Linked DNA regions of Elephas maximus indicus. The protein of the gene in region 1 binds, or shares a complex with, the protein of each later gene. Links are inferred from orthologs where the notes say so. Each region holds a gene or a part of one and is shown on either strand. Other genes may lie near its edges. The genes, in order: GINS4 and GINS1.

Region 1 (16,108 bases):
AAACACTAAACTACTGTGCCACCAGCACTCCAGTACATAGAATAAAAACATAGAATAGTGACACTGAATTATAAGAAAACATTCATTAAGGACAAAGCCCGGAATGAGGTGAGGCTTGGACAAAATGTAAAGAACTATGAAAAAAATGCTAAAAGCTACAAAAAGGTGTCCTGTCAGTAAAAGAGCTACAGAAAAGGAATGTTGTCAGGAACCAGGAAGGGACTGGCCTGGAGTGAATGGTGTCATGGGTATCGCTTTCAAAAAATGTTCTTTACAAGTATGGAAATGACAGTGGTTAAGGAGGAGCCTAAGGCCGAATAAAGGACATTTAGTCTGTTTTAATGGAGTTTAAGTCTTCTAGGATCAATTATATTCCTGGATAAATTAAATTAGTATTTATATGAAGTTTAAGTTTCTAAAGCTTTCTCCTATCATATGTAAATTGCTCCTAATCCTATATTGTTTAGTGTACTAAAAGCCTATGTAGTTTCATTACCTTGGAAGAATTACTGAGCTCAGGAAGAGTGTGAAAGACTAAAGATGGGCACATTTCCTGATTTTCAAAAATTTCAAAAATGGAAAGGTGGGGAATATTCAAATACAGACTAGAGTCCTTAACATTGACATGGGGTCATATATTAGAATACATAATTTAAAAGATGGTTGTGAACTCAAAGAAAAGGCAGTGATTAACATGAAGAGGATTTACCCAATCAAAAGAAAACAAAACTGCGTGGCTTGTTGTTTGGGGGTGTTGGGTACAGGTGTATACTGTGTATCTCAATTTTCTCAAAACATCTGATAAAGTCTTTATGATACCTTGTGGGCAAACTGTAAACCTGGGGCTGGGTGACAGCTTATACTGGGAGATTCATAAACAGTTGAATAAAGAATATTGATTCAATGAATGGCTGTCATCTGGAGGAAAATCTCTGATGGAATAATCTGTCACTGGCCCAGTCCTAGTAATCAATCAGTAAGAGCTTTGATGGCATACTTATCAAAGCTGCTGATGACAAAGTGTTGAGATAGCTAATTTAATGCAATTAAAGTCACTGAGGAGTCCTGGTAGCACAGTGGTTATGAGCTTGGCTGCTGTCATGGACCGAATTTTATCACCCAAAAATGCCTGTCGGCTTGGCTAGGCCATGATTCCCAGCGTTGTGTGACTGTCCACCATTTTATCATCTGATGTGATTTTCCTAGGTGTTGTAAATTCTATCTCTATGATGTTGATGAGATGGGATTAGAGGCAGTTACGTTGATGAAGCAGGACTCAATCTACAGGATTGGGTTGTGTCTTGAGCCAATCTCTTTTGAAATACAGAAGAGAGGACAGCAGAGAGACAGGGAGACCTCATGCTGCCAAGAGAGTGGTGCCAGGGGCAAGGCACGTCCTTTGGACCGAGGTTCCTCAGTGGAAAGGCCCCTAGACCAGGGGAGGATTGATGACAGAGACCTTCCTCCAGAGCCGACAGAGGGAGAGAGCCTTCCTGTGGAGCTGACGCACTGAATTTGGACTTCTGGCCTGTTAGACTGTGACAGAATAAATTTTTGTTAAGGCCATCCACTTGTGGTATTTCTGTTAGAGCAGCATTAGATGACTAAGTCAGAATTTGCAGCACTACATGACCAAGACAGCTGCTAACCAAAAGGCTGGCAGTCTGAATCCACCAGGTGCTCCTTGGAAACCCTATGGGGCAGTTCTACTTTGTCCTATAGGGTCACTATGAGTCGGAATCGACTTGATGGCAATGGGTTTGGTTTTGTTTTTATTTAATGTCACTGAATTGTACATGTAAAAATGTTGACATGTTTTGTTATATACATATATTTCACCATAATAAAAAAAAAGAGAGAGAGACAGCTAATATATTAGGTAACAAAATCAAGACATGGAGACCACAGTAAGTAATAAGCTCTATATTTAGGAGGAAAAAACCAAGCCATACAAATACAGGATGGTGATAGGATGGGGTAATAACTTAAAACATCAGCAAGGGTTAGAGTTAATAATAAGCACAGGATGAGTTTAGTAAGATGTGCCTGTCAAAAAACTAATGTGATATTGGGTGGTATTACTACCAGTTTAATATCCAGAATAAGGGAAATGATCATCCTGTTTTTTACAAAAAAGGCCAAACCACAACTGGTATATTGTATTCGGTTCCAAATGGCACAATTTAAGAAGGATACTGACAAACTAGAACTGTTTTAGAAAAAACAGCAAGAGAGTAAGTTTGATTTAAATGGTTGGAATGTGTAGCTGAGAGAAGACTTAAATGAGACGTGTTAGCTGTCTTCAGATACCTGCAGCACTCTGTTAGTTTTATAATACCTAAGGGGACAGGTGGAACCCAATGAGAAGAAACTTCAAGAACTTGCCAGGGTTAGAACACACATCATACAAATTAAGAATGTTTTGCAAATTTCCTTTTTCTATATGTCAAATTAGCATGGTCTGTTTGACACTGACTGTCTGACAGATAGAAAACAATTTTTAAAACTAGTTCTCCTCTCAGTATTCTCTAGTCAATCACTGTCGACAACTCTGCCTCAGGACTACTACGTTGTAACCCCAGGGGGCACCATACATAGCAGATAAATACAATAAAACCCCGTGTGTTACCCTCAGAGTGGTGCAACAGATGTTCCAGCTAGGCCTCTCTAGAACAATCTCCCGCCCTCTGAGAGCGGAGGCTCCGCAGTATTTTCAGGCCCTAGACTCTCCCAGGCCCCAGCCCGACTTCTCCTCCTCAGAGCTCTCAGCATGTATCAGAGACTGCATTGCTGTAATGCCTACAGTTATCTCCATGACAAACCTTCCTGAGCCGACACCGCAAGTAGCTGCTAAGGACATAGCGGATCCTTTCCATCTCCATTCGGTGGATGCTGACCTTCAGATCCCCCTTTTTGGCTCTCCTGAGATTTTCTTCCTATTAAAGGAGAAATCCAAGTATAAAAATCATGATTTTTCAAGACTAAGAATCTTTTTTGTTCAATCTATGTATAGCCCACAAGGACCACCATCATTGGCAATGTTTAGGACCCAAAGACTACATTTCAAAGGTGAACCAAAACTAAAAGTCATAAGAGCTCTCATTTTAGTTTTAATTTTAATTACACGAAAAACATGAGCCTAAAGTCTCACTATACAAAACGTAAACAATATTTATCTACTTTTAGAAAATGACTGCGCAAATAGAATCTGAATGTGGTCAGTCAGGAGGGCCCAGGATGCTAACCCAATTGTAAAGGTGGTGATACAGCACACAGAAGAAAATGTCTAAGGGGTCTGAAAAGCAGAGTTAAAACACCAGTTAAGACACTGTAAAATGTCAAAAATTTTAATGCTGATAATTATTTACACCCAGATCACCTAAGCCAAGGATCACAAACTCAAATGACTACGAGGGCCAGGCAGGAAAGGTATATGAGAAAGGTGGGTAGTTAGCGGGTGTGGGGAACAGGGAAGCACACAGAAAGGAGTGGCTCTTAGCCTGCTCTGGTCGACTGTTCTTTGTAGAAATGTGGGGCCAGTGATGCTGGGTCTTCAGATTTTTCATGGGAAGCTGATACCCAGATTCTTATGGGAGCTCTCATGCTTTGTAAATGTTGGCAACCATTTCAGTATTTTAAAAAATACTGGGCTGGGCCAAACAAAACAGATTTGTCGTCATACCACAACTTCTCATTATGCTGACCAAACCCTTTTAACTTTCTCTTCCTTTGTAACCCTGAGACAAGCAGCTCTTACCATGTGATCTAGCTGCTCTATGACACATTCTACAATTTCAGACTTGCTTTCCAGCAGCTCTGGGGCAAACTTTTCATTCATCCAGGCCTAAAAAAAAAAAAAAAAAAAGCATCACTCACAATGGAGGAGAAATAACCCCTTGGGTTAGTATCCCGGACAAACCCCAGTGCCGTCGAGTCGATTCCGACTCATAGCACCCCATGAAAATCACAGATCTCTCAGGCAAAGAAAACTAGTTTGCCTACCACTTGAAAATGCTTTGAAGACAAGCTGTTCAATGACGGCTTTTCCATTTCTTTTTTTAGTGAGAAGGCTGTGTTCACAACCTTATATTCGACCAAGATTAAAAAAAAAAAAAATCACTATTACTTCAAAAATGTTAAAGTATAATACCTATTGCTGACAGTAACACTCCCTAGTATTCAAACAGTACCTTTTACCGAGTAGCATTAACACTTTTTTTTTCCCATTTTTTCACAGGCTATTTCCCACTAGGGGGCACCAGCACCATTTCTATTTTGAGAGATGAAGTTAACACCATTTCCATTTTGAGAGATGAAGTTAACACTTTAAACAAATCTACACATCTCTTCATTCCTGAAGCTCCAAGCATTTTAAACACACTTTTTCATTCACCATCGTAGTATCTCTGAGAGGAAATGGATATAGTATTGATGAGAAAAAAGAGATTTAAGTAATACACTAAAAGCCCAAGAATTTAAAAGATCACAATGGAAGTGGATATTCATCTATTAAACAGTTTTGGGACAAGAGGTTAAATCCCTAGTTTATGACTCAGGCCTAACTGCTTGGTACATTCTAGAAACTTCCAAGGCTTAGAGAACTGAAGTAGCCACAGGAAACTAAGGAAAACTATACTTATCTTTCCATTACAGAAAATTTAGTTTTAGCATAGGTCAGAATTACATGCTCATCAAGCTCCATCTATTTCTTTTGGTTTCCTTGAGTCTCTGTTTCTTCAATTATCCCTATCAAGACACCTTATTAAATACTGGCTATTGTTATTGTTACTACCATAAAAATTTTTTCAAGTGCTTTAGCTTCTGTGGAAACCCTGGCGGCATAGTGGTTAAGTGCTACGGCTGTCAACCAAGAGGTTTGCAGTTTGAATCCGCCAGGCACTCCTTGGAAACTCTACGGGGCAGTTCTACTCTGTCCTATAGGGTCGCTATGAATCGGAATTGACTTGACGGCAGTGGGTTTTTTGGTTAGCTTCTGTAATACTATTGCAACCAAACCAAAAACCTGTTGCTGTTGAGTCAATTCCGACTCATAGCGGCCCTACAGGACAGAGTAGAACTGCCCCATAGGGTTTCCAAGGAGTAGCTGGTAGATTTGAACTGGTGACCTTTTGGTTAGCAGCTGAGCTCTTAATCACTGCACTAAAACCCTAACTCTAAATACAGGAGAACAAAATATTAAAGAATACTTTTTGATTTTTTTTTTGTAGGGATGGTCTTCTTAAACAGAACATAAAATGTTACATGAAGAAAATTTTGATGAATTCGACAATATCATAATTTTAAATGACTGTATGACAAACAATACAAACAGATTGGGAAAAATATCGCAACATATATTGTAAAGGGTCACAATCAAAACAACAAAGGACTACCACAACTCATCAATTAGAAAAGGAAAAAAACTCTTTGGAACATTTGGCAAAGGATATATAATGGCATGCCACAGGGAGGAAACTAAAAGATCTAATAGGCATGAAGAGAAAATATTTAATCTCATTAGTAATCAGGCAACTCAAAGTTAAACAATTAGATAATATCCGTATCCATCAAATTATTGCAGATGTATAAAATTAACCTGGAAGACAACCTATATTTTTAAGTAGCTTAATTAATGAGAAAAGATCAAATTATCACGGAGAACTTAAAAAGCAGTTTTTCTTTTTAATTGGTGTTATTAAATACTGAACAGCTACAAAAGAATATGAGGTACATATTAACCACGAGAACGATGATACAAACACCTGTGTGTGCACAACTTAGTTACAGAATATTATCATTATTTCAGAGGTCCCTGTGCATCTCTCAGGAGCCCTGGTGGTGCAGTGGTTAAGTGCTAGGCTGCTAACTAAAAGGTCAGCGATTCAAACCCACTAGCTGCTCTGCAAAAGAAAGATGTGGCAGTCTGCTTCTGTAGAGATTTACAGCCTTGGAAACCCTACGGGGCAGTTTTACTCTGTCCTACAGGGTTGCTATCAGTCGGAATTGACTCGACGGCAACAAGTTTGGTTTGAAAGGAAGAAGTAGCCCAGAAATTTTAGGTAAGCAGTGGAAATAAAGACAACATCTGACTCAAAGTATATGAGAGGAAAAGGAAGAATAGGCCAGTTTTCTCCTCAACATGTTTCAGCACTTTCTTGTTAACCCGACATTCTCCAGAGAAACATCAGTTATTTCAAGAGACTAAGGTACAGTCCCTGAAGAAGGACATCATGTTTGGCAGAGTACAGGGTCAGTGGAAAAGAGGAAGACCCTCAACGAAGTGGACTGACATAGTGGCTGCAACAATGGGCTCAAGCATAACAACGATTGTAAGGATGGCGCACGACCGGGCAGTGTTTCGTTCTGTTGTGCATAGGGTTGCTATGAGTCGGAACCGACTCAACGGCACCTAACAACAACAACAACAACATACAGAACCGACAAATCCCCACAACACCTCTGCAGCCCTCACAAATACAAGTAGAACCTTAAATGTAAATACTAGTGAACCATGCTATTAAATGAATCCAAAACTGTTCCTTTCTGATACCACTTAAGAATTGTGTTTGATGTTACAAGGTCTCCAGTAGACTATGGCCCCCTACTTCCTATTTCTCTTGAAATAAACCTTGAATTCTATTTCTTCATTTTCTGATTCCTCAAATTTGCCCAGTTGGATTGGAGCTAGGGGATTCTGTTTGGGATGCTTACCTCCTCCAGCCTTTCAATGAGCTCTGCAGGAGTAAGGACCACCTCATCACTACCTCCATCAGAGTCCTGTTCCATAAGATTCAGTTCCTCTGTCATTTCTGAAACCAGGAACCTAATGAAAATAAAAGAGTCAATATCCTGCAATATGTTTCCCATATATTTACAAGAATACCCACTGCCTTCACGTTGATTCCGAGTCATAGTGACCCAATAGGGACAGAGTAGTACTGCCCCCTAGGGTTTCCAAGGCTGTAATCTTTACAGAAGCAGGTTGCCACATCTTTCTCTCCCATGGGGCTGGGGGGTTCCAGCTGCCAACCTTTTGATTAGCAGCCGAGCTCCGAACCACTGCGCCACCAGGGCTCTATTTACAAAAATAGACAATTATACATACAGTGAAGGAAAGTTTCATGTGGGGTTGTCAGGTTCATTGGCAGTGGCTACATCATTTACAGACTCTGATTTTTCAATTCTTTGTTTCTTCCTTCAAGGTTTAGGTCAGGTATCAAGTTCTCAAAGAGGTGCCCCCTTACATCTGTTTTCACTACGTACACTTCGAATTCTGCACCTATCACACCATATAATGATTATTCCTTTAATTGGCTTCCCAGTATAGCTCCTTTTCATCAGGGACTGTATTCATTTCAGTTCAAATATGAATCCCGCATTGCTCAGAGCCTGGCACTTCTAAGTGCTGGAGATACATTATCTGTGTGGACCCAGCGCTCAGCACAGGGCTTGACAGCAGACACCAAACTACCTTAGGAAGTTGTGCGGTGGGTTGGGGGACGAGGGTATGTCCCCAGAACCTCAGGGAAGCTGAGCAAATTCCTCCTGCCCATCTCCTCTTTCGCTGGCACCAACACAGACCACCCATTCCCCCAAACATTCGCGGGCGCGCGCGCGCACACACACAGTACAGAGGTCCCACGTGGGTGCTCACGCGAGGTGCTGGGAGGCAGAGGCACTCCGAGGTAGCAGACGGCAAGGACGAAGCTCGCTGGGAAGCAGCCCGGGCCCTCCCAAGGACGAACTGGAAACGGAGGGTAAACAGGCCAATTCCTACGAAGCCTTTCCCGGACGTTCCCCACTCGCGGCTTTTCAGCTCCCGCGCTTCTCTCGGACCCTTTCCGCCCAGTTTACGTCCCCACGCACGGACGACGCTAACCAATCACGGCCCGGGGGCGGAACCAGCAGCCTTCTTGCCCCGCCCTCCCTAAAGGGGCGGAGACTTGCGTCGCGGAGGTTCAGTCTCGCGTCAGTCTCGAGAATGGAGGTGACGGGAGTCCGGTCGCGAGGGGGCGCCGCGCCACCGCGGCTGAGGAGATCCGGCGGCGTCTGCCTTCCGGCCACCAGCGTGAATCGCCTGAATGAGTCTTCAGATGGTAGAGCCCTCAGTCAGCTTCAAGCCGCTCCAGCTCGCGTGGAGGGGATCAGAGACGAGCTGTCTCGGGTGAACCCTGCCCCGATTGCAGATTTGTGAAAAATATCCTTGAGTATTATAGACTTGAGTCCAGGTATTCCCTGCATTTAATCTGGCACAAATAACATCTACACAGAAGTACCAGTTACTTATTTTACTGATGCAGACACTGACTTCCCTTTTCTGGTGCCAACTGTCTTCTCCAATCTTTCCCTGTTTGTCCATCTGGGAGATGGAGGCCAGCCTCAGTTTCCTTACTTAGTAAAGGTGTGACCTTGAACAAGTCACTTCTCTGAGCTTCGGTTGCACCACCTGTGACGTGAATCATATTTGTTTGCCTGAAGACAGAGAGATAGGTCAAAAATTATTTGGGGGATCCCTTTCACTTCTACAATCTTTGATTCTAACTAATATTCACCAGACAAAAACACTTTAGAAAAAATGAGTTTGCCATGTGAAAAAAAAGAGTATTTTAAGGAGATGTCAAAAAAGAATGTATAAAGCTACTTGGGGGATGCAGCACAGAATTGCTGAAGGAAGGAAAGACATGTCTTAAGTTACATTATTTAGACTGAAGAGAAAAATCGGAAATACCTGCTTGATTTTCACCCACCATTAAGAAGTTTTCTTTTTTTTAGAAATGATTACACAGCCATATAAATGGAATGCTATTCATTAAAACAGTCATGTTATAAAAAATAATTACGTAGGTTATGATAGCAAGAGAGTGACATTTGATGGTGATACATAAAACTTGAGTACAGAATTTGTAGAATGTTCTGATGATTAAAAGAGCAAGGTGACCACGCTAACTTGATTTTCAGACAAGTAAAACATGAAGTTAGAAATATGGCATACGAAGGAAAAAGCTACGGCCCAAAGTTGAAGAGGATACAGAAAATAGAATTCTACACAAATGAATAAAAAGACCTGTCGACACAACTTGCGAATATTGCTGAATGAAGAAAATAACCGCGGTTACAGTCATAGCAAATGTTGTTATTAGTGCCATCAAGTCGGTTCTGACTCATAGCAACCCTATGTACAACACAACGAAACACTGCCCGATCCTTCACCATCCTCATGATTGTTGTTATGCTTGAGCCCATTGTTGCAGCTACTGTGTCAATCCATCTCATTGAGGGTCTTCCTGTTCTTTGCTGACCCTCTATTTTACCAAGCATGATGTCCTTCTCCAGGGACTGATCCCTCTTGATAACATGTCCAAAGTATGTGAGACATGGCCTCGCCATCTTTGCATCTAAAGAGCATTCTGGTTGTACTTCCTCTAAGACAGATCTGTTCATTCTTTTGGCAGTCCATGGTATATTCAATATTCTTTGCCAACACCACAATTCAAAGGCGTCAAATCTTCTTTGGTCTTCCTTATTCATTGTCTAGCTTTCGCATGCATATGAGGTGATTGTAAACGCCATGGCTTGGGTCAGGTGTCTCTTATTCTTCAAGGCGATATCTTTCTTTTTCAACACTTTAAAGAGGTCTTTTGCAGCAGATTTGCCCAGTGCAATGTGTCATTCGATTCTTAGCTCTGCTTCCATGGGCATTGATTGTGGATCCAAGTAAAATGAAATCCTTGACAACCTCAATCTTTTCTCCATTTATCATGATGTTGCTTATTCGTCCAGTTGTGAAGATTTTTGTTTTCTTTATGTTGAGCTGTAATCCATACTGAGGACTGTGGTCGTTGATCTTCATCAGTAAGTGCTTCAAGTCCTCTTCACTTTCAGCAAGCAAGTTTGTGTCATCTGCATAACGCAGGTTGTTAACGAGTCTTCCTCTAATCCTGATGCCCCATTCTTCTTTATATAGTCCAGCTTCTCAGATTATTTTGCTCAGCATACAGATTGAATTGGTATGGTGAAAGGATACGACTCTGATGCAAACCTTTCTGGACTTAAAACCACGCGGTATCCCCTTGTTCTGTTCAAACAACTGCCTCTTGATCTATGTACAGATTCCACATGAGCACAATTAAGTGTTTTGTAATTCCCATTCTTCATAATGTTATCCATAATTTGTAATAATCCACACAGTCATATACCTTTGCACAATCAATAAAACACAGGTAAACATCTTTCTGGTATTTTCTGCTTTCAGCCAGGATCCATCTGATGTAAGCAACGATATCTCTGGTTTCATGCCCTCTTCTGAATCTGGCTCGAACTTCTGGCCGTTCTCTGTTGACATAAACTGCAGGCAGGTTTGAATGACCTTCAGCACAATTTTACTTGCGTGTGATATTAGTGATATTGTTCGATAATTTCTGCATTCGGTCGGATCACCTTTCTTGGGAAGAGGCATAAATATGGATCTCTTCCAGCCAGTTGGCCAGGAAGCTGTCTTCCATATTTCTCGGCATAGACGAGTGAGCACCTCCAGCGTTGCATCTGTTTGTTGAAACATCTCAATTGATATTCCATCAATCCTGGAGCCTTGTTTTTCGCCAATGCCTTCAGAGCAGCTTGGACTTCTTCCTTTAGTACCATCAGTTCCTGATCATATGCTACCTCCTGAAATGGTTGAATGTCGACCAATTCTTTTTGGTACAGTGACTCTGTGTATTCCTTCCATCTTCTTTTGATGCTTCCTGTAGATAACTACAGAAATTTACGTTAATAAGAATATACATTAATAAGAATGAAGCTATTCTTTTCTTTTTAAATCACTGAAGATAAAATACAAAATAAAAATAGCTTTACAGTATTGTGAGGCTTTTGGGAGAATGGTGCTTTCTAAATACAAGGTAATACCATCATTGCTGTGAGCCATCATTATTGTGAGTTCTGGGTGGTGCAGACAGTTAAGTGCATAGCTACTAACCCAAAGCTTGGCAGTTTGAACCCACCCAGAGGTGCCTTGGAAGAAAGGCCTGGTGATCTGCTTCCAAAAGATCACAGCCGGGAAAAGTTCAACTCTGACATATATGGGGCCACCATGAGTTGGTATTGACTTGATGGCAACTGGTTTGGCTTGTTTTTTTACCATCATTATTGTTTACATGGAAACCCTGGTGGTGTAGTGGTTAAGAGCTTGGCTGCTAACCAAAAGTCTGCAGTTCAAATCCACCAGGGGCTCCTTGGAAACCCTATGGAGCAATTCTACTCTGTCCTATAGAGTCTCTATGAGTCGGAATTGACTCGATGGCAACGGATTTGGTTTTGTTATTGTTTTCACATCATCACTGCCCTAGATTATTTGGTCAACAGCTGTTTTTCACTGTTTCCTTCCTCTGAACACCATCACCTTCTTGGTCTCACCAGCTAAGAACAAAGACAATGAGTTTGGGGAGTGTTACCAAAGTTTAACCCTTGGTTTTTTCGAAAGAATGAAGATCTGGATTAAGGATAGGAGAGTAAGGGGGCAGCTTGCATGTTTAAGGAAGGCAGGAAGGAGCAAAGCTATTGGCTACGGAATTTGTGAATATTTTTCTGGCCAATAATTAAAACCTAATATCTTCCTGTACAGCAGGGATACTGGAAGGGTCAGGAAACCAGGGCCAGGCTTGGATCTCTCTGACAGATGTGAAATCTTGACAATTCATGATATCCCTAATTCCTTGCTTTTGTCTAGACTCTAGATCCTACACCCCTTACTCTCATCTTGTCTTGATTTCAGTCATGTTAAATGAACCTATACAGGCTCCCCAACGAGGATATAAACTTTTCAAAGCTCAGCTTTTCCGAGTTCTGAAACCACAATTTAAAGACTTTTAAGAGACAGAGCTGAATTAGGTAATTTTGTAGCATTATCTAAACTAAAAAGCCTGTACAAACTTTTACTGCTATGTTCTTTATTTTTTCTGCCTGTTCCTTTGTAGGAAAATGATGTGAACTGAGCTCTTAACCACTATTCCACCAGGGTTTCCTACCATCAGTTAGGTCTTAACATAGCTCAAGTTTCTGGCACAGACAAATAAGCCCTACCTCCACCTGTGCCTTTTGTTTTCTCGAGGCTGGAGGATATTTTTTCTCATGACTACAGAATTAACCTTAGGAATAACAAAAAAGAATCAGTTTTCCTATGAAGGGGTACACATATCTTCTGAAAAGAATACTTACCCAGGAAACAAAGCATCTGGCTTCAAATACCGGCTCTAACAAAGTCTTTACAAGTCTGGGCAAAGACTCTGTAGATGACATCTCCCTGTTTGTAGTAACATTGTCAATAAGGAAGCAGAGCATTGATACCTGTCAAACTCTGATACCTCCTCAAGGAATAGTAAGGTGATATATTTCCTCATCCCAGAGAGTTACTAACTTACATTCTTTAACTTTTCCTTGGGGAGTAGTGATCAGAACTCCTCTAGGCTGGTATCTCTTTGCCTTTAGACTTTGAAAAACTATACTAAACCGATCTGTTGGGAGATGGAGTAAAAATATCCTCAAGAAATATAGGGAGGATATTGGGGTGCTGGTGTGATTTTAGTCACTGAGAAAAGTAGATGCTGCTGACTTTCTTGTCGCTCAGGGCTTTTTTCCTTGCACCCTCTTGGCTCTAGTTATGTCAGATTACTTATGGATACGAAGGATTTTGTCTCCTTTCTGCACACATGCTGTTGCCTCGTTCTGAGTTTCTCTCCATTTACTACCCGATGAAATTCTATTCATCCGTGAAGACCCAGCTGAAATATCCCTTCCTCTGTGAAACCATCCCTAACACATCTATCCCCTCTTTAGGCCACCACTATACCATATGGAGCCCTGGCGGCATAGTGGATAAGAGCTTGGCTGCTAACCAAAAAGGTCTGCAGTTCGAATCCACCAGCTGTCCTTAGAAACCCTATGGGGCAGTTCTGCTCTGTCCTATAGGGTCGCTATGAGTTGGAATTGAGGCAATGGCAATGGGTTTGGAATGGTTTATAGCATCTAATATCCTGGTATGACATGTATTACATTATCTTGCAATTTTAACGTCTCTATTTCTCCTTTTAGACTTTGAATTCTCTGAGGGTATCCCCCAAGCCTAGTATTCATTCATTCATTTATTTCTTCATTGAACAACGATTTCTTGAGTATTTACTGTTCCAGGGGTAACATAGGTATTAAGGTTAAAGCAGTGACTAGGTAACACATGGAAACCCTGGTGGTGTAGTGGTTAAGAGCTATGACTGCTAACCAAAAGGCCAGCAGGTCAAATCCACCAGCTGCTCTTTGGAAACCCTATGGGGCAGTTCCACTCTGTCCTATGGGGTTGCTATTGAGTCGATATTGACTTTATGGTAGTGGGCTAGACACATATATCCTGTTATAAATAGCAGGTGGTGATAAATGCGATGAAGAAAAATAAAGCTGGGTAAAGGGTAGAGAATGTTGAGGGTGGAGACATTTTCGATAAGATGTCCCCTGTGAGAACAACTCTTAGAATACAGTTCAGATTCATTTATGTGTATAAATGGTTACCCTGAGCTGAAAAAAATACAGTAACATGTATTTAAATTTTTCTTAGTTTCATATTTTTTAATTAGAGTTACAGAGATGGTATTACATTGCAATTATTACCATTATTATTTTCATCTATACATGGAGCATCTATAAATTATATATCTTCTGAGTTGTCAAAACTTTACATAATAAAGAATAAGACACCTGGGTTAATATAGGGAAAAAAAGTGAAATTTTAAATTCGTGACATCTTACAAACTCCCTGGAATTATGTCTAGGTTTCTTGTTTTAAACAATTCTTACAGATTTCTCACTGGTGAAAGTAAACATCTTAACTGAGTTAAAATTCACCTTCTGTCTATCAGAAGGCAGGAGGATGGGATGACTAATTATATTCCTTGTCACAAACGATTATCTGAGAATTTTATTATTAAATTAGCTCAAAATAGATAATGTAAAAATTCCATTTTTAGCATATCTCTCCAAATGATAGAAAGCATAAGATTTTTCAGTTGATGTTCAGTTCAGTTATGAGAATACTTTCAGCTGAAAATACTGGAAAGTGGTCATGCGATTGTGTTCAATGTACCCTGAAGTTGGTATTTTTTGAAACATGAACCAGAAGCCTTGGGTCATTTGGTCTCTCAGAGCTGGTCTTACTGTAAGAAGCCATCATTCTGAGTTGCAAACTTGTTAGAATCAGTTAAGATTTAAGTATGACCCATGGAGCTTTGTGAAGGCTGAAATCACTTTGGAGTTTTCCTTGTTTGTGAAGAAGTGAAATCATAAAGTTTCCCAGTCATCCTCTCTTTGCTTCGTCTTAGGCATGTTTATTTTAAGTGAGAAATTCAGCTTGACCCTGAACTTTACCCTTGGCTATATGCTGCTACTAGGCTGCATATATACTTGTAAGCAGGAAAAGCCATTCCTTTTATTTTTTCACTTTTTCGGGTATAATTAGAAGTAGCAGAGCTCAGAGACTAGTGTCTTTTGAGGATCATTGAGACCTAAGATGTACATAGACCTGGAGATTTAAGGGAAATTGAAATTGGAGACTTGAAACTGGAGACTTGGGTGAAATCCCAGGGGAGCGTTGAGTATTGTGTCCAAATTACCAAAGCCCTTCGAGATACTGAAGATGTCAACTAGTATGCATAATATTTAGGGTATGGTCATTTATAGTGCCACACCCTAAAATATTGTGCACACCAATAATTTATATTGAATCTTAACAAATGGACCAATAAGCAACATCATGATAAACAGAGAAAAATATTGAAGTTGTCAAGGATTTAATTTTACTTGAATCCACAATCAAGGCCCGTGGAAGCAGTAGTTAAGAAATCAAACGACATATTGCATAGGGCAAATCTGCTACAAAAGACCTCTTTGAAGTGTTAAAAAGGAAAGATATCACCTTGAAGACTAAGGTGTGCCTGACTCAAGCCATGGTATTTTCAGTCGGCTTGTATGCCTGTGAAAGCTGGACATTGAATTAAAAAGACCGAAGAATTGATGCCTTTGGATTATGGTGTTGTCGAAGAATATTGAATATACCATGGACTGCCAGAAGAATGAACAAATCTGTCTTGGAAGAAATACAGCCAGGTTACTCCTTAGAAGTAAGCATGGCAAGATTTCATCTTATGTACTTTGGACATGTTATTAGAAGGGGCCAGTCCCTGGAGAAGGACATCATGCATGGTAAAGTAGAGGGTCAGAGAAAGAGAGGAAGACCATCAACAAAATGGATTGACACAGTGGCTGCAACAAAGGACTGGAATATAGCAACAATTGTGAGGATGACGCAGGACCAGGCAGTGTTTCGATCTGTTGTACGTGGGGTTACTATGAGTCGGAACCCACTGGACAGCACCTAAGAACAATTTATATTGACAAACGCGTGTTGTGGTTTTCATAATAAAAATATCTTTTGGCATTTGAAAAAAGTATAGAAAATAATTTGGGAGCCCTGGTGGCCCACAATAGTTAAGCACTGGGCTGCTAACCAAAAGGTCGGTGGTTTGAACCCACCAAGCTGCTCAGGAGGAGAAAGATGTGGCAGTCAGCTTTGTAAAGATTTACAGCCTTGGAAACTCTGTGAGGCAATTCTACACTGTTCTATAAGTTTGCTATGAGTTGGAATTGGCTAGAAGGCAGTGGGTTTGGGTTTTTGATTTATAGAAAACAATAAACCATATTACATTACAAATTCAATCCAAGCCGTTCGTGCTCCTTTTCCTAACCCCATTCTTCTTCCTCTCTCTCTAGAGATAACTGCCATCCTCAACATGGCGTTTACTCTTCTCAGGCATGTTTTTATGTTTTCCCACTTATGTGCATACAAAAGTAATATATGGTAATAGTATATGAGTTGTGTGGATATGCGTGTGTGTATCCACTACGTCAATTAGCATAACTCATTTATTTTTGTGTCCAATTTTATTTTTGTCGTTTTACATGTATTTGGTGGGAATAGTCCTTCCCCTGACCCTGGGTGGAAACCGAGAAAGGTCCATGATTACTTGTCACTCTTTTGTTTAAAAAAATCCCATGATCTCTTTAAGTTACA
Region 2 (15,759 bases), on another chromosome or scaffold:
CTGAAGTTGCTCTATCAGGGAAGATTCAAGACTCATCTTAAGATACCTTTGGGGCACCCAGAAAATACGAATACGGACTGGATTAATTCCACCGAGACACTGTTCACCGTGGTACACGTGACAGTGGCACAGCAGCTATGTGAGGAAAGATCAGAAGGCCCTTATTTCTTAGAGACACATGCTGAAGTATTTAGTGGTGAGATGTTATGTTGGTATTTGCTTTAAAACAGATTAGCATAAATGAATAAATCGTGAAGCAAATATGGCAAAATGTTAAAAATTGTTAAATCTATATGATGGCTCCAAGGGGTCTGTTACATTGTTTTCTCTGCTTTTGTGAACGTCGTAATTTTTCACAATAAAATGTTTTAAAACTGAAAAAAAGAATTTAGAGTGTTTATAGAGGGAGAGACAAATCTAAGATCTCTTGCTGGCAACTTGAAACTTAAGTGGGAAACTACATGGAAGGCTCTCCTTTGTTCCCTGCCACTGCAAGCAAAACCGGACCAGCTTACAGGTATGCTACGGTGCAGCGTCGGTTTCTCAACAAAGAGCAGTGTCGAAATTTGATGGTTGGTATCAAATCGCTTCGTCCATCTGACTTCGCTTCATTCCTGGTGAGAGCATTTAAAGAGGAAAAAAACAAATATGCACATTTCAGAGGAAAAAAATTTAAATCAGATTTTTTTCCAATGGTATTTTTCAAAGCCAGCTAACCACTGAGGCACATGCCCGTTTTTACCCACTTGTGTTTAACAGTTAACCTGTTAACAGTTTAACAGTTAAATTGTAACTGCCTCCATTTCAGAACTTTTATTACTATGTTAAAAGGTAAAAAAAAAACTGAAAGCCAAAAGTTAACTAACTTGTCTAAGATGATACCATACCAGCTACACTTGATCTAACCATTTGGTACTGTGCATTTTTGCACACTGGTAGATCTCTATTATTTCCAAAAGACAAGACGCCGTATTTACACTTCTGGAATTCCTTTATCATGCTGGAGTAAGAGACAAGCCTAACATTATGTACCTAAGAATATGGTCTTACATCATGTTATTACACGTACTACTCCTCTTTCGGTGTACTTCCAAATCCTCACTATGATAAACTACGCTAAAATGGAGTCAGCATGGTTTTTCACTCATCCAGCAAGTACTTGCTAATCTCCAGCTGCTGTAGTTCAGTTTTATTCACACAGACAGGGAAAAAATTTTGGTTTTACCCTATAAAATGTACATCTCCTTAGACACCAAACAGGCATTACATTTTAAAATCAATGCACAGAATGAATAAGAATCTACTTTGGAGTTTTTAAAGCAACTGGATGAATACGAAAAGGATTCATCCATGCTTCATTCCAGGTACTAAACCCTGAAAGTAGAGGCAAAACGCACACCCATCCAGGTGCGTCTTCTAGCTCTGTTCTGCCACCCTGTGACAGTCAGACTTATACTCCACGTTGTACACATAAAATACACCCACCTAACACCAAGTACTTTGTTAAGTACGTAAGAATGTCCTAAAAAAAAATCACATTTACACATGGGTAATTTAGAAGGAAAACATTTGTTCTCACAAATAACTTTAACCAGAAATTGCTAACAGTGATTGTTTTCCCAGAAAAGACACCAAGAGGATGAGGGACAGAATTTTGAATCATGAATTTGCAAATGGTACAAATACAGGAAAATCATTCTTTCTTTCCCCACCCCCAGGGCCAAGGCCTGCTTTGCTACCCCTGAAATATTTCTTTCATCCGTTCACTCTTTACCTTCTCACTGCCACTATCTAGTGCAGGCCAATCTTCTACCACTTGGGTGATGCCGACCATCTCCTGACCAGTGTGCCTCCCTCTACTCTTAGCCCCAGTCCACATGGCAGCGAGGATGACCTAAAACATGATGGGACACTGCCCATCCCACAAACTTAAAAATCTCCTCTAATGTCACTTGTGCCCACCTGCTAAGCTCCAGCCACACTGGCCTTCCTCTGGCGTCAGTTTCGTGAGCATCCTGTCCTCCCTCATGATTCAAGGCTGTGGCAGACCTGTTCCCTCTGCCCAGAATGCTCTCTCCCCATAACTACTGCCTCGCTCAAACCTGCGTCTTCTCAGGCCTCCGCTGAAAACATCGCTTCCCTGGAGAGAACTTTCCTGCCTTTCAGTCTGTCATGGATTGAACTGTGTCCTCCAAAACTATGTGTATCAACTTGGCTAGGCCATGATTCCCAGTATTGTGTGATTGTCTGCCATTTTGTCATCTGCTGTGATTTTCCTATGTGTTGTAAATCCTGTCACCGTGATGTTAATGAGATGGATTAGGGACAGTTATGTTAATGAGATCTATAAGATTAGGTTGTGTCTTAAGCCAATCTCTTTTGAGATATAAAAAAGAGAAATAAACAGAGAGATAGTGGCACCTCATACCACCAGGAAACAAGAGCCAGGAGAAGATAAAATCCTTTGGACTCAAGGTTCCTGCATGGAGAGGCTCCTAGTCCAGTCTAAACTGTGTCTTCCATTTGTTATTCTCTCACATCACTCTGTTGTTTTCCTTCACAGCACATATTCCAATTGTAACTAGTTTTTCTGTGTGTGTATTTGTATTTAGTACGTGTCTTCCCCATTAGACTGAGTGCCATGAGGGCAGAAATCTTGATTGCGTTGCGTACCAGAGCCACTTATTGGCACGTAATTGTTTAATAAATATGTGTTGGTTGAATGAATGAATGAATGGCTTGGGGACCATATTTCAGGACATTTATCTTACATTTACTGCAAGGGTCAGAACCTGTACGGTGTACTTGCTCATTCTGTTTGTAAAGATTTTTCTCTATCTGTCCTTAGTAGTTGGAAATGTGCCTAGGTTTTGTGTTCTACAAATCTTACCAGCATGCCACTGATTTTCATATCCAAGAAACTGATAAAAACATTGTATCTAACAAGGCCAAAGATGAAACCACACGTCACAGAGTCGACTTCTCTTTAGGTTGAGGTCCTGAAAACCTCAACTTTGATCCATTAACTGGTACTCTTTCATTGGTACTTTTCACCAAGTCATAGGAGCGTATTGATTTGTCTTATAGCCCAAATTCTCCATTGTGCCAAATACCATGCTCGGCTCTTACTAAGTCCAGAGCCCTCTTGAGTTATGGCCTTTTGCAGCACTAGTTCTCCGCAAACTCGACTCAAGCTCCCAGAAATCACTGCTGCTCCTCAATGTTAACATGCTGCCCTACTCCCTTTACCAAATGCATTAAAGCATCTGTTAGGAGCCCTGGAGGCATCTATTAATGAAGACAGTGAAAACGATGTCCATATTCCACTTTGTTAGGGTTTTTAATTTGCTCAAGGCTCATCTCTTTCAAGTCTGCCATAATTCCTGTCAAGTCATATCAAACAACAAATACATATTGAGCATCCACTATGTGAATACAACAATGACCAAATTAGTTCTGTGCTAATTCGTATAGCTAGAATATGATCAGGTACGTAGAGAATTAAAAACAAACAAAAAATATGATACAAGGTTATCTGATTCAGTACCTTACTTCTTAAACTGTTTTAAAATATCAATCTTATCAAAACTTACACATCAGACTGGTTTTGTTCATATAAAGCTTTCATCTCCTCCAGAATTTGTCTGAGTCCATCCTCCTAGAATATATAAACTGATATTGATATAAAACTTCATTAATTCCCCAAAGCCATTTGTATCTGTACTATATTTATCCTTGATTTATATATTAAAAAAAAACCCAAACCCATTGCCATCAAGTCGATTCAAATTCGTATTTATGTATCTCAGCGAAAATCAATAGCCTTACAGAGACAATCAAGCACGACAAAAGCACATAAATATTTTATTATTAACTAAAAAAAAAAAAAAAAAGGTCTTAAAAGGTTACTACACCCCCCCCCCAAAAAAAATAAAGAAAGAAAAAAAAAGGAACAGTGTTTTGGTTTGTACTGCAAGAAGAACAGAAAGGTCAAAGAAGTTTTTCCTACTATCCACCTTGAGGCAAAAATTTTTTCCCTTGTAAAGATAAAATTTTAGAATCCTGAAAGTCATAAATGTTAAACAATAGGTTTGTCAACGATCTTAAAACCAAACCAAATCCGTTGCCATCCTGTTGTTTCCTACTCATAAGAGACCCCACAAGACAGAGCAGAACTGCCCCACAGAGTTTCCAAGGAACGGCTGGTGGATTTGAAAGGTCCACATTTTTGTTAGCCGTCAGCTTTTAACCACTGCACTACCCGGGCTCCGTCTGAACAGAAGTGACCCCGTGTACTTTCAGGGCCAAAATATACTCATTAGCAAAAATGTTTTGGCACTACTGGTATAATTACAAATATCAACTGCTGAACGCTGCTCAAATACAAGGAAAGATACCATTCCTGGTGAATGAAGCACAACTTAAAAAAGGCCATGATTTATTACCTTTTGCTGTCGAGTCAAGTCTGACTCATAGCGACCCCACAGGACAGAGTAGAACTACCCCACAGAGTTTCCAAGCAGCACCTGGTGGATCTGAACTGCCTACCTTTTGATTAGCAGCCATAGCACTTAACCACTAAAAAAAAAAAAAAAAACCACTACACCACCGTAAATATTCCCCTTGTTTAGCAAGTACTGTTTTAAATAAAAACTCTTGTGTGATTAATAGATCTGCAGACATATAAAAATCTAAACAGAAGTGGTTTCATAAAATATACACAAACTTTCAGGTTTAAATTTTCATCTCTAGTGGGACTCATATCAGTTCTGTGCCCCTACCTTAGGCTGTAAGCCCCTAGGAGCCTAACTTGATTTTCCTAGAGAAATCTACCACAGTTCTGGATGTAGAAAGTGGGTCATCATTTCAGCTTACTGAGCATAGCAACTGTCATGGATTGAATTACGTCCCCCAAAATATGTGTATATTAACTTGGTTAGGCCATGATTCCCAGTATTCTGTGGTTGTCTTCCATTTTGTGATTGTAATTTTATGTTAATGAGGATTAGGGTGATTGTAACACCCTTACCAGGTCACAACCCTGATCCAAAATAAAGTGAGTTTCCCTGGGATGTGGCCTACACCACCTTTTATCTCTTGAGAGACAAAAGGAAAGGGAAGTAAGCAGAGAGTTGGGAACCTCATACGACCAAGAAAGCAGTGCCCGGAGCAGAGCACCTCCTTTGGACCTGAGCTTCCTGCGCTGAGATGCTCCCAGACCAAGGAAAGGCTGATGACAGGGACCTTCCTCCAGAGTTGACAAAGAGAGAAAGCGTTCCCCTGTACCCGGTGTCCTGAATTCGGACTTCTAGCTTACTGGGCTGGGAGAGAATAAACTTCTCTTTGTCAAAACCATCTACTTGTGGTATTTCTGTAACAGCAGCACTAGATGACCAAGACAGCAACTAACCACGAGATATTCTGGAGTGGATAAGGCTGACCTGTGCCCCCACACCCCAGGGTACCAGCTGCCTGCATGGGTGGTAGGCCTATTCACCCTCAGATCAGTTTTCCATCTTCTGCTGCAGTTGTGTGTGAGACTGGCCCACCCTCACAGGTGAGTCTCCCAGGCTCTTGACTCACCTGACAACCAAATGGGCTCATCAGTGGAAGGCACTAATGAGACAAAAGGTGCTCCACCAAACTAAGACCTAAAAGAAGGATTAATTCTATAACTTCTAAGTCCCACCTCTAGTGGCACGGTAGTTAAGAGTTTGGCTAGCCAAACGGTTGACAGTTCCAAGAGAAGTCCTGGTGGCACAGTGGTTAAAGTGCTCAGATGCTAACCTAAAGGTCAATAGTTAGAACCCACCAGATGCTCTGCAGGAGAAAGATGTGGCAGTCTGCTTAAGTAAAGACTAACTACAGCCTTGAAAACCCGATGGGGCAGTTCTGCTCTTGTCCTACAGGGTTGCTATGAATCAGAATTGACTTGACAGCAACGGGTTTAGTTTTGGTTTGCTTAAGACCCACCTCTGGTCCCCCAAAGGTCTTAGTGGTAAACCAACAGAGCTATCGTAAAATACTTTTTCAGTGGAAAATAGTGCTAAACTCAGGGTGAAAAGACCTGGGTTCCAAGGCCAACCCTGTGTGGACAAGGGACTCTGTCTCTGTGGGTCTGTGTCCTCACGTGTACCATGACCCCTAAAGTCTCCAACCCCAGTGTGGAGCCATATTTTTGCACCTACATACCTGCTACCTTCCAAAATCTCTAATAAACTTGCCACTGCTGTCTCCTAACTTTTTAAATGAGCTAACTGTTCTTTGTTTAACTGTTCTGAATTGAAAGAACAATACACTGGAACCTAGGAAACCTGTATTCAAAGGCTTCCAAAGTGCCCTGAGTTCAGACAGATCTCTTAACTTGACCCACAGTTTTTCTTGGCTGAGTTTCTTGTTCCGTAAAATGACCTAGTTGTAGGATTAGGTGCTCTTTAATTTTCAAAACAAAACTCATTGCCTTCTCAGGGGACTCATCCTTCCAGGCATGGCTCAGATGCCCCTCAAGCCCCATGCTCCAACTCACAATGGCCTTTCTCCTTTATCTTCCTGGTCTACACTCTGTGCTTTCGCTTACCAAGCTGCATTCTATTCACCTGTTTTCCTGCTCCTCTTCCTGACATATACACAGTGGCTGCCCCATGATAGTCTACTATATCATTTAAAGTGCAGGCTCTGGAGCAAGACTACCAAGGTTCAAATTCTAGCTCTATCCTTGTCACAGATTGAATTATGTCCCCCCCAAAATGTGTTTTTCAATTGGGCTGGGCCATGATTCCTGGTATTGTGTGATTTTCCTATATGTTGTAAATCCTGCCCCTGTGACGTTAATGAGGGAAGATGGGCAGCAGTTGTGTTAGTGAGGCAGGACTCAGCCTACAAGATTGGACTGTGTCTTAAGGCAATCTCTTGATATAAAAAAGGGAAGTGAGCAGAGAGATGGGAGGGGAGAAGGGAAGGGGAAAAGGACAGGGACTATGACCTCATACCACCGAGAAAGCAGTGCCAGGAGCAGAGCGCATCCTTTGGACCCAGGGTCCCTGCACGAAGAAGCTCCTAGTCTGGGGAAAGACTGATGAGAAGGCCAACAGAGAGAGAAAGCTTTCCCCTGGAGCTTATACCCTTAATTTGGACTTTTAGCCTACTTTACTGTGAGAAAATAAACTTCTCTTTGTTAAAACCGTCGACTTGTGGTATTTGTTACAGCAGCACTGGATGACTAAAACAATCCCTTATGGACTGTCATCACCAGCAAGTTACTTAATCTCAAGTCTCCCTTTATGCCTGGAAAAAAAGGAAAGCAACAGCTTAAACCTCAAAGGAGAGACAATGAAGGCTAAGTGCTTAGCACTGTTCCTGGCTTGAAGTTCTCATAATAGAAAAATAATAATAGTAATAGTAGTAACAATAGCAGTACTAGTAGAAACAGCACACAGTGACTCAGTCCTCACTGTGTGCCAGGAATCGTTCAGAGGACCAACTCATGTAACCCTCACTGTACACTACACCAGGACTTCATCTCACATACTCTGGACATGTTTGGAGGATGTCAGCGAAAGAGAGAAGACCCTCAACGAGATGGACTGACACAGTGGCTGCAACAAGAGCTCAAAGATAACGATTACGAGGCTGGCGCAGGACCAGGCAGTGTTTCCTTCTGTCCTATGCATGGTTCTCTTGTACTTGCGGTGGCTATGAGTCGGAACCGACGCCACCGCACCTAACAACAACGTGAACTGTGTATTATTAGATCGTCCCCATTTTTGCAGATGAGAAAATTGAGCGCTCAGAACGCTCAAGTAACTAGTCCAAAGTGACCCAACAGAGCCAGAATCTCAGCCTGGCTTCAGAGCCCTACCTTTTAACCACTAAACTTTGCTACCTGCGTGCGCCAAAAAATGCTAATTTATCAGGCAACCATTACATGTTTTGTTTAAACGAAGGAGCAACAACAAAGCTATAAATGGAAAAACACTAAAGGAGATACAGTCATATGAAAAACTCAAATCCCCGAGAAACATAAGCCAATGCCTTCTTCTTCTATATTCTGTCCTGCCGCGGCCCAAATCTCGTTTCCGACCTTGGAACTGGAACGGTGGGAAAGTAAAGCCTCCAGGAAAAGCGTAGGTAAAACGGCGGGAAAGCCGCCCCGGCCACCGGCCCAGACCCCGCCCCCGCCGGCCCAGACCCCGCCCCCCGCCGGCACAGGGCCCGCCCCCCGCCGGCCCCGGCCCCGGCCGCCGGCCCAGGACCCCCCCTCCACGCCGGCCCAGGGCCCGCCCCCCGCCGGCCCAGGCCCCGCCCCCCGCCGGCCTAGGCCCCGGCCGCCGGCCCAGGGCCCCCCCCCGCCGGCCCAGACCCCGCCCACCGGCCCCCTCCACCCCAGGACACCTCCTCAGCCCCGCCCCCTCGACAGGCCCCATTCGCCTCTGTTCCGCCCTTCCCTCCCCCTCTCACATTAAAAGCGGGCAGCTGCCCTTCCGGCGTGTGGCGCAGCTCGCGGACCAGCTCCATGGCCTTTTCACAGAACATGGCGGATGCACCCCTGCCCCACGGCCTCGTCAACCGTCCGTTCTCACGCCGAAGGGTCGCCGGACCCTCAGCACCTTTACCCCTACCGTTTCCCTTCTCTGGGCTCCCGCCCCTCAACTTCGCAACCGGTCCGCGTTTTGGCGCTAAACCCACCCAACCAATGGGGACGTGCTCCTGACTCCGGCGGCCAATGGCGGCTGAAGAGGGACCGTCGCCTCCGCTGCGCAGGCGTACTACCGGGGGGCGGGAGCGAGGGCGGGGGCCCCTTCCGGGCGGGGGCTCCTGCCGGCTGGGGGGCCTCTTCCGGGCGGGGGGCCCCTGCGGGCGGGGGGCCCCTTCCGGGCGGGGGCCCCTGCCGGCTGGGGGGCCCCTTCCGGGCGGGGGGGGCCCTTTCCGGGAGAGGGGTCCCTTCCGGCCGGGGGGCCCCTTCCGGGCGGGGGCCCCTTCCGGGCGGGGGCTCCTGCCGGCTGGGGGGCCTCTTCCGGGCGGGGGCCCCTGCGGGCGGGGGGCCCCTTCCGGGCGGGCGCCCCTGCCGGCTGGGGGGCCCCTTCCGGGCGGGGGGGGCCCTTTCCGGGAGAGGGGTCCCTTCCGGCCGGGGGGTCCCTTCCGGTCGGGGGGGTCCTTCCGGCTGGGGACCCGGCGTCCGGGAAGGAGTCGGTGGGTGGCGGTGTGAAGCCTTCGCTAAGCGGAGACGGCTTTTGAGTTGCGATGTGGCGGGCCGGGCAGCTTCGGATAAATGCACGTCCCGCAGCTTGCTTTTTTTCCCCACCTGACGCTTTCATTTTTGTTAAGGTTCAAAGGGGCGCTCGGAGACGGAAAGTCCCAGAAACGGTGTGCATTAATACTATGTTCGGCATTTCCTTTGTTTAGTTTTGCAGTGTTATTGTTTGTTTGATAGCAAAGGAAAAACGACTTTTACTGGGTACGTCCTCAGTCGATGTATACTTCGTGGACTTCTAACGATTATCCATAAAACTGGTTATTTAGACTCATGATACTGCCTAGGAAACAGCTGCTAAAGTGATAGACTCTGAACTAAAGTTTTTCACTTTCAACTCCACTGTACCACCTTTTTGATTTTTAAGCACTCATTTAAAATGTTTGTAAAGTATACCTTGTCATCAGGTCTACCAAAACCAAAAGAAAACAAATTGCTGTTTAGTTGATTCTGACTTAACAGCGACCGTACACGACCCAGTAGAACTGTCCCTCACCAGGCCTGGGCGGGGGGGGATGCCCTAGATGAATGGGGGAGCCCTGGTGGCGCAGTGGATATGCTCTGGGTTGCCAGTCAACAGGTCTGCAGTGTGAACCAGTTTAAGCCCACCAGCTGCCATCAGGGAGGAAGATGTGACAGTTGGCTTCCATGAAGACTGCAGCCCTGAAACCCTGTGAGGAAGTTCTACTCTGCCCTGTAGCCTCACTATGAATTGGAATTCATTCAATGGCAAGGCTTTTTCTTTCTTTCTTTTTTTAAGATTAATAGGAATTCATGTGTTATCTTGACTAGGTAATCTATGGAAAATCTCATAACCACATAGAATCAAAGGTAGAAGTCATTGCTATAGAAACGATGGGTCTAATTGGGCTATTTTTTAAAGAGCAATATTACTCAGATTAATTCTAGCTAACCCTAGAGACTATGTTGCTCTTTTCCAAATACAGGTACAGTAGATATCTGATCTGAGGTATGGGTAAGGGAAAGGCCTGCTTTAAAAACAAAGCCTCAGAATCTCATCCTTATGCAGAGTGACATTTCAGCTTTACAGTAAGGGATAACTTAGCCAAATTTTTCTTTTTCCTTTTTAGTCAAATACAGAATTCTACATTGGAATGTCCTGCAGGATTGTGGCCCAAAGACCAGCTATTCACAGGCTTTTCTGCTACAGTATAAATATTTTTCATTAGGCCCCTAGGTAAAGCCCTTCAATGTCCCTGAGACTCACTTCCTTACCTGTAAAAGGGGATCATTTTACAGGGATCACAACCTCTGGGATTGTGTGATTCAATCATTTCCCTCAGCAAATATTAACTTTCATAGGGTTGCTATGAGTTGGAATCAACTCGACAGCAATGGTTTGGTTTGACTTAGATGTATCAGCGTTGTTGTAGACAATGAGCAAAGCAGTGAACAAAATCTTTGGTATATGTTCTAGTGTGGGAAAACAGCAATACACAGATATATTCTTGACGGATATATTGGTGATATGTGCTATGAAGAATGAGCCAAAGAAGGAGAACAGAGTGATGGTGCGGGGGTCTGAGGGTTTTGAGTTAAAGTGCTCAGAGAAGACACAAACCTGAAAGATGGGAGGGAGGGAGCAATGTGGACACATGGCAGTGGGAAGTGCAGAGAATTCTTGGCAGCAACAATGCCAAGTGCAGAAGTGTGAGGGGGGGAATTTGGGTGGCCTGTGTGCAAGGCATACGAGGCGGCAGTGCTTCCTGTGCAGGGTGAGTAAGGAGAAGATGGAGGCCATATCAGACAGGCCCTTAGGCCATTGCATAAACTTTCGGTTTTATTTTGTGTGAGATGGGGAGCCATTAAAGTGTTTTGACGGTGACAGGCTCTGACCTAGGTTTAAAAAACTTTTTTTAAAAAGACCTCTGTGGTGTCTAAGTCAACTGAAGCCGGGCAAAGGAGACCAGCTAGGCCATTAAAGTAATCCAGGTGAGAGATGGTGGAGGTAGTGAGCAGTGATTGGGTCCTAGACTGATTTTGAAGGTGGAGCTGAAAGGCAACATGCTGTGGCCCACCAGCTGCTGTCAGTCAACTCCGACTCACGCAACCCCCCATGTGTGTCAGAGTAGACCTGTGCTCTGTAGGGTTTTCAGTGGCTGAGTTTTCAGATGTAAATCGCCAGGCCTTTCTTCTGAGGCACCTCTGGGTGGACATAAACCTCCAGCCTTTGGGGTAGCAGTGACACCTTAATGGTTTGCAGCACCCAGAGGCTCCCACTGTGGCATTAGAAAGGAAAAATCACTGATGACCTCAAGGTTTTGGCCTGAGGTAATGCAAGGATGGAGTTACCATTCCCAGAGGCAGAGAAATATGTGTTAGCCGCCCCCACCCCCATCCCCACCCCCGCCCCCGCCCCCACCCCCACCCCCAACTAGCAGAATTGTGAGGTTTATAAGAACATTCCCAGAATTCACTTGGGCCGGGTTTCCAGCGTTGGATGCGAGCGGAAGAGCGGCCCCTTGTGGCCACTCCTCCCCAGTGCTCGCCTTCCGGCTGGCGCCCTGGGGCGCGACAGTGCCGCAGCTGCTCAACTCCGGCGGAGTCCGCGCCCAGGCCCAGCCAGGCTTGCGGGCCGCTCGGCCTTGCCCTTACGATGACGCTAGCCTCGGCTTCGCCCGCCCTTCCCCAAGATGGCTCCCGGCTGGCGGGGCGGGCCGCGCTCCCCGCGGGACTCCGGACGCGGAACGCTGGGGGCGGGAAGCGGGGGAGGGATCCCGGCGCTGATTGGTCGGCGTGACCCGCCGTCCCGGGTGTAGTCCGTTGTCGCGCGCCGCGGCCTCGGCCGAGATGTGAGGGGCTCCCGGCGGCGGCGGCGGCGGCGGCGGCGGCGGCGGCGGCGGCGGCGGCGGCGGCGGCGGCGGCGGCGGCGGCGGCGGCTCCGGCTCCGGCTCCGGCTCCGGCTCCGGGCGGCGGGGACTGCAGCGGGAGCGGCGCAGGCGGGCGGACGAGGCCAGCTGGCGCCCTCGGCGGCCGGCCCTGTCGGCCGCGGCATGAGGAAGCGGGCCGGGCCCGTCGCCTTGGAGCATGAGCGCTCCGTCGCCGCGGGCTCGTCCTCCTCAGCCTCCGCCCCCGCGGCGCTGGACGCCGACTGCCGCCTGAAGCAGAACCTGCGTCTGCCGGGCGCGGGGGCGGCCGAGCCGCGGTGCGCGGCCGACGCGGGCATGAAGCGGGCTCTGGGCAGGTGAGGCGCTGCGCAGGGCGGGGCGGGGCCCCACCTGGCCGGCAGGTAGCTCCCGAGCCCTCCCCCGGCTGCCTGCCCGCCGGAGCGCCCCGCGCCTGGGCCCTGTCCCCGGTGTCCTCCCCGACCCGTCTCCGGGCGCCTTCTTCCCCCGGCCGGCAAGGGCGGCCCCGAGGCCTCCGAGTTACCTGCCGAGAGCCGCGCTCCGCATCGACCCCGGTGCCCCGCGGCCCTCGGTCCCTGCGCGCCCGCTCTCCGCGGCGAGCCCGCGGGGGCCCCTTCGGCGGCGGGGTCGGAGCGGCCGGGAAGTGACGACCCTGCGCGGGAGGGGAAGGGAGGGCCGGGGGCGAGGCGCGGAGGGGCTGGGGACCCCGAGTGCTGGAGCGCGTCTGCGCCTCGTCCTCTGCTCAGGACCCAAGCCGGGGGTCGGCCGGCGCCCCCCTAACCGGACCCAAGCCGGGGGTCAACCGGCGCCCCTCTAACCGGATCCAAGCCGGGGGTCAGCCGGCGCCCCCCTAACCGGACCCAAGCCGGGGGTCGGCCGGCGCCCCTCTAACCGGACCCAAGCCGGGGGTCGGCCGGCGCCCCCTTAGCCCGATTTCTCTAACCGGACCCAAGCCGGGGGTCAACCGGCGCCCCCTAACCGGACCCAAGCCGGGGGTCAGCCGGGGCCCCTCTAACCGGACCCAAGCCGGGGGTCGGCCGGCGCCCCCTTAGCCCGATCCCTCTAACCGGACCCAAGCTGGGGGTCGGCCGGCGCCCCCTTAGCCCGATTCCTCTAACCGGACCCAAGCCGGGGGTCAGCCGGCGCCCCTCTAACCGGACCCAAGCCGGGGGTCAGCTGGCGCCCCCCTAAGCGGACCCAAGCCGGGGGTCGGCCGGCGCCCCTCTAACCGGACCCAAGCCGGGTGTCAACCGGCGCCCCTCTAACCGGACCCAAGCCGGGGATCAGCCGGCGCCCCCCTAACCGGACCCAAGCCGGGGGTCAGCCGGCGCCCCTCTAACCGGACCCAAGCCGGGGGTCAGCCGGCGCCCCTCTAACCTGACCCCCCTACCCGGATTGCGTGTGCGGAAGCTCCCCAGGGCCCCGATTCTCACTTCGGCGATCCTTGTCCTCTCCGGGTGACTAGCTGTCAGGAATGGCATTCGTTGCTCGGAAATGCCGGACCTTTGGGGAGCGGTTAAGTGGCCCGCGGCGCCCAGGGAAAGGTGGGGTGTACGGCATCTGCAGCTGTTGGAGGGAAACCTGTCGTGTGATGTGCAGGGGGCTGCTGGCCCTTAAAGGCAGCCCCGATGAGTGAGACCCGCCAAGAAGGGACCCACCAGAGTCTTGGAGCCCTTCGGTCGTTTGCCTTTTCCCACTGGGATGAATGAATTTATGTAACGCTGGCTTCCAAATTGAGATAGGAGCATACTTCACAGGGTCAAATTTCTCTCCTCGCTTACTGGTCCTTTAATTACTTGGCTGTTTGTAGAATGTATCATTTATGGCAATTTTGGAGCCTTGATGTTTCTTGGTATTGTTTGAAGAAGTTAGTGTGTAGTGTTAACAGGTCTTGTGGCAAAGGCATTTCTGTTGAGGTCAACTAGAATGCCTTTAATTGACATTGGCCACTTCACTATAAAATATTTATCCAAATAGCCCCTAAAGAAGACCAGAATTTCAACTGCATTGCTTAAAAGATCTTGAAATTAAACTATAAAAAAGAAAAAAATTTGTTTTTTATAGAACCCTCCAAATTGATGACTCAGTTCTGCCAGAAGGACAGGACTATGTGTGTGTGTGTAAAATGACTTAGCAACTGGTCAATATCTTTTGTAAAACTAATTTGTATTCTTTGCTGTGGAAATGTTTATGTGCATTAAAAACTCATAATTTAGCTTTAATGCACTTTTGTTAACAGGTTTGGCATAGCCCTTCGATAAAATTAGAAATCCATCCATTGAAGAAATCAAATTGTTGTGCACAGAAAGGTTTGGGGGAAACAATGCTGAACTAGCACCTTCTTGTATTAAAAGCATCTGATTAATTTCAATTTTCATGTGAGGAGTCGAAGAGAGAGATTTAAGTGGTGCCCATACCTATCCTTTGGATGAACAAAAGGCTGTTAGGGGAATGAAAAGAAAAACAAAGGAAAGGCCAAATTTGTTTCTTATTCCTGGTTTCCTTTCCTACTGCCTGGAACATTCTCTCCAGCATTCTCATGCTTTATCTTCTTCATTCAGGCCTCTGCTCATCCGTCTCCTCCAAGAGATCTTCTGGGACCAGTCTTCCAAAATAGCCTTCTCCTTCCTCTCAACCCCTTTGTTCTGTTAACTTTTTTCTTCATTGCACTTATCACTGACCCGATATTATAATTACAGGTGCATTTGTTGACTTGTTTTATTGACCATCTCTTTCTGCACTAAAGGGGAAGCTCCATGAGGGCAGGAACATTGTTTTCTCTTTTTTCAAAGGTTTCTTTTTTCTGAATTTTGTATATTTTGTTATTGTTGTTGAGAATATACACAGCAGAACATATCAATTCCACAGTTTCTACATGTACAATTTAGTAACACTGATTACATTCAGCCATTCTCACCCTCCTTTTCTGAGCTGTTCCTCCCTCATTAACATAAACTCACTGCGCACTAAGGTTCCTATATAATCTTTCAAGTTGCTATTATCAATTTTTTTCCCAATTAAAAAAAATTTCATTTTGCTCAAAAATATCACAAAGAAGTTAAAGCTCCACCACCCCTGCCTCTTGTCCCTTTCTAAAGTGGTCCGTTGTTAGGGGCTGTCGAGTTGGTTCTGACTCACAGCAACCCCATGTGACAGAGTAGAAGTGCCCCATAGGGTTCCCTAGGCTATAGTCTTATGGGGTACGGGGCTCTGGAGTGCAATGGTTAAGCACTCTGCTAACTGAAAGGTTGATGGTTTCTAACCCACCCCGCAGCAGGAACATTGTTTCCTTAACCATCCTATTTTCAGTGCCTGGCACATGGTGGGTAGCAGAAAATACTTGTTGGATGAATATCTGTAGCTATCCTGAAAGTGGAATTGCTGGACCAAGGGGTGTATGTATTATAACTTTGAAAGATAAAGTCAAATCACCCTCAAAAGAAGTTGTACTAATTTGTATTCCCACCAACAATGTAAGGTGTCTTCACACACGCACACACACACACTCTCAACCAGCACTGTACATTACCAGATATTTTGATCTTTGCCTGTCTGGTGAAAAATGGCATCTGGTTTGTAGCTTTAATTTGCATCTCTTAATTGTTGTTGTTAGTGACCTTACAGGATAGAGTAGAGCTGCCC

Evidence for each region.
Region 2: the proteins of GINS4 (region 1) and GINS1 are in contact, whole or in part, in a crystal structure (PDB 2E9X), measured with the Homo sapiens proteins. The link is inferred for Elephas maximus indicus from reciprocal best matches to the Homo sapiens genes GINS4 and GINS1. Residues at the interface, in NP_115712.1 of Homo sapiens: Met55, Glu59, Glu83, Arg84, Arg86, Tyr87, Leu89, Ser90, Leu93, Arg94, Leu97, Glu101, Phe104, Glu125, Glu126, Phe129, Glu132, Phe133, Asn136, Thr137, Tyr140, Leu141, Val144, Ala145, Leu146, His148, Met149, Pro150, Pro151, Asn152; in NP_066545.3 of Homo sapiens: Phe24, Leu29, Leu33, Met36, Tyr40, Leu69, Leu70, Arg73, Thr76, Val77, Leu80, Tyr81, Leu84, Arg88, Trp92, Glu109, Glu110, Trp113, Asn116, Tyr117, Ser120, Leu121, Tyr124, Ser127, Leu128, Gly129, Gly130, Asp131, Leu134, Ile136.

Annotation. Positions count from the first base shown.
Region 1 is NC_064840.1:58,955,418-58,971,525, forward strand, and holds the start of GINS4 (DNA replication complex GINS protein SLD5), read right to left. Parts: upstream 7,838-16,108; 5' UTR 7,627-7,837; exon of another isoform or gene 7,472-7,626; intron 6,824-7,471; 5' UTR 6,808-6,823; coding exon 6,712-6,807; intron 3,845-6,711; coding exon 3,758-3,844; intron 2,937-3,757; coding exon 2,823-2,936; intron 1-2,822. UniProt on the Homo sapiens protein: Required for correct functioning of the GINS complex, a complex that plays an essential role in the initiation of DNA replication, and progression of DNA replication forks.
Region 2 is NC_064843.1:68,355,735-68,371,493, reverse strand, and holds the start of GINS1 (DNA replication complex GINS protein PSF1), read right to left. Parts: upstream 8,750-15,759; 5' UTR 8,533-8,749; coding exon 8,458-8,532; intron 3,673-8,457; exon of another isoform or gene 3,659-3,672; coding exon 3,594-3,658; intron 615-3,593; coding exon 516-614; intron 1-515. Other genes in the region: lysophosphatidylserine lipase ABHD12, read left to right, coding at 12,265-12,455. UniProt on the Homo sapiens protein: Required for correct functioning of the GINS complex, a complex that plays an essential role in the initiation of DNA replication, and progression of DNA replication forks.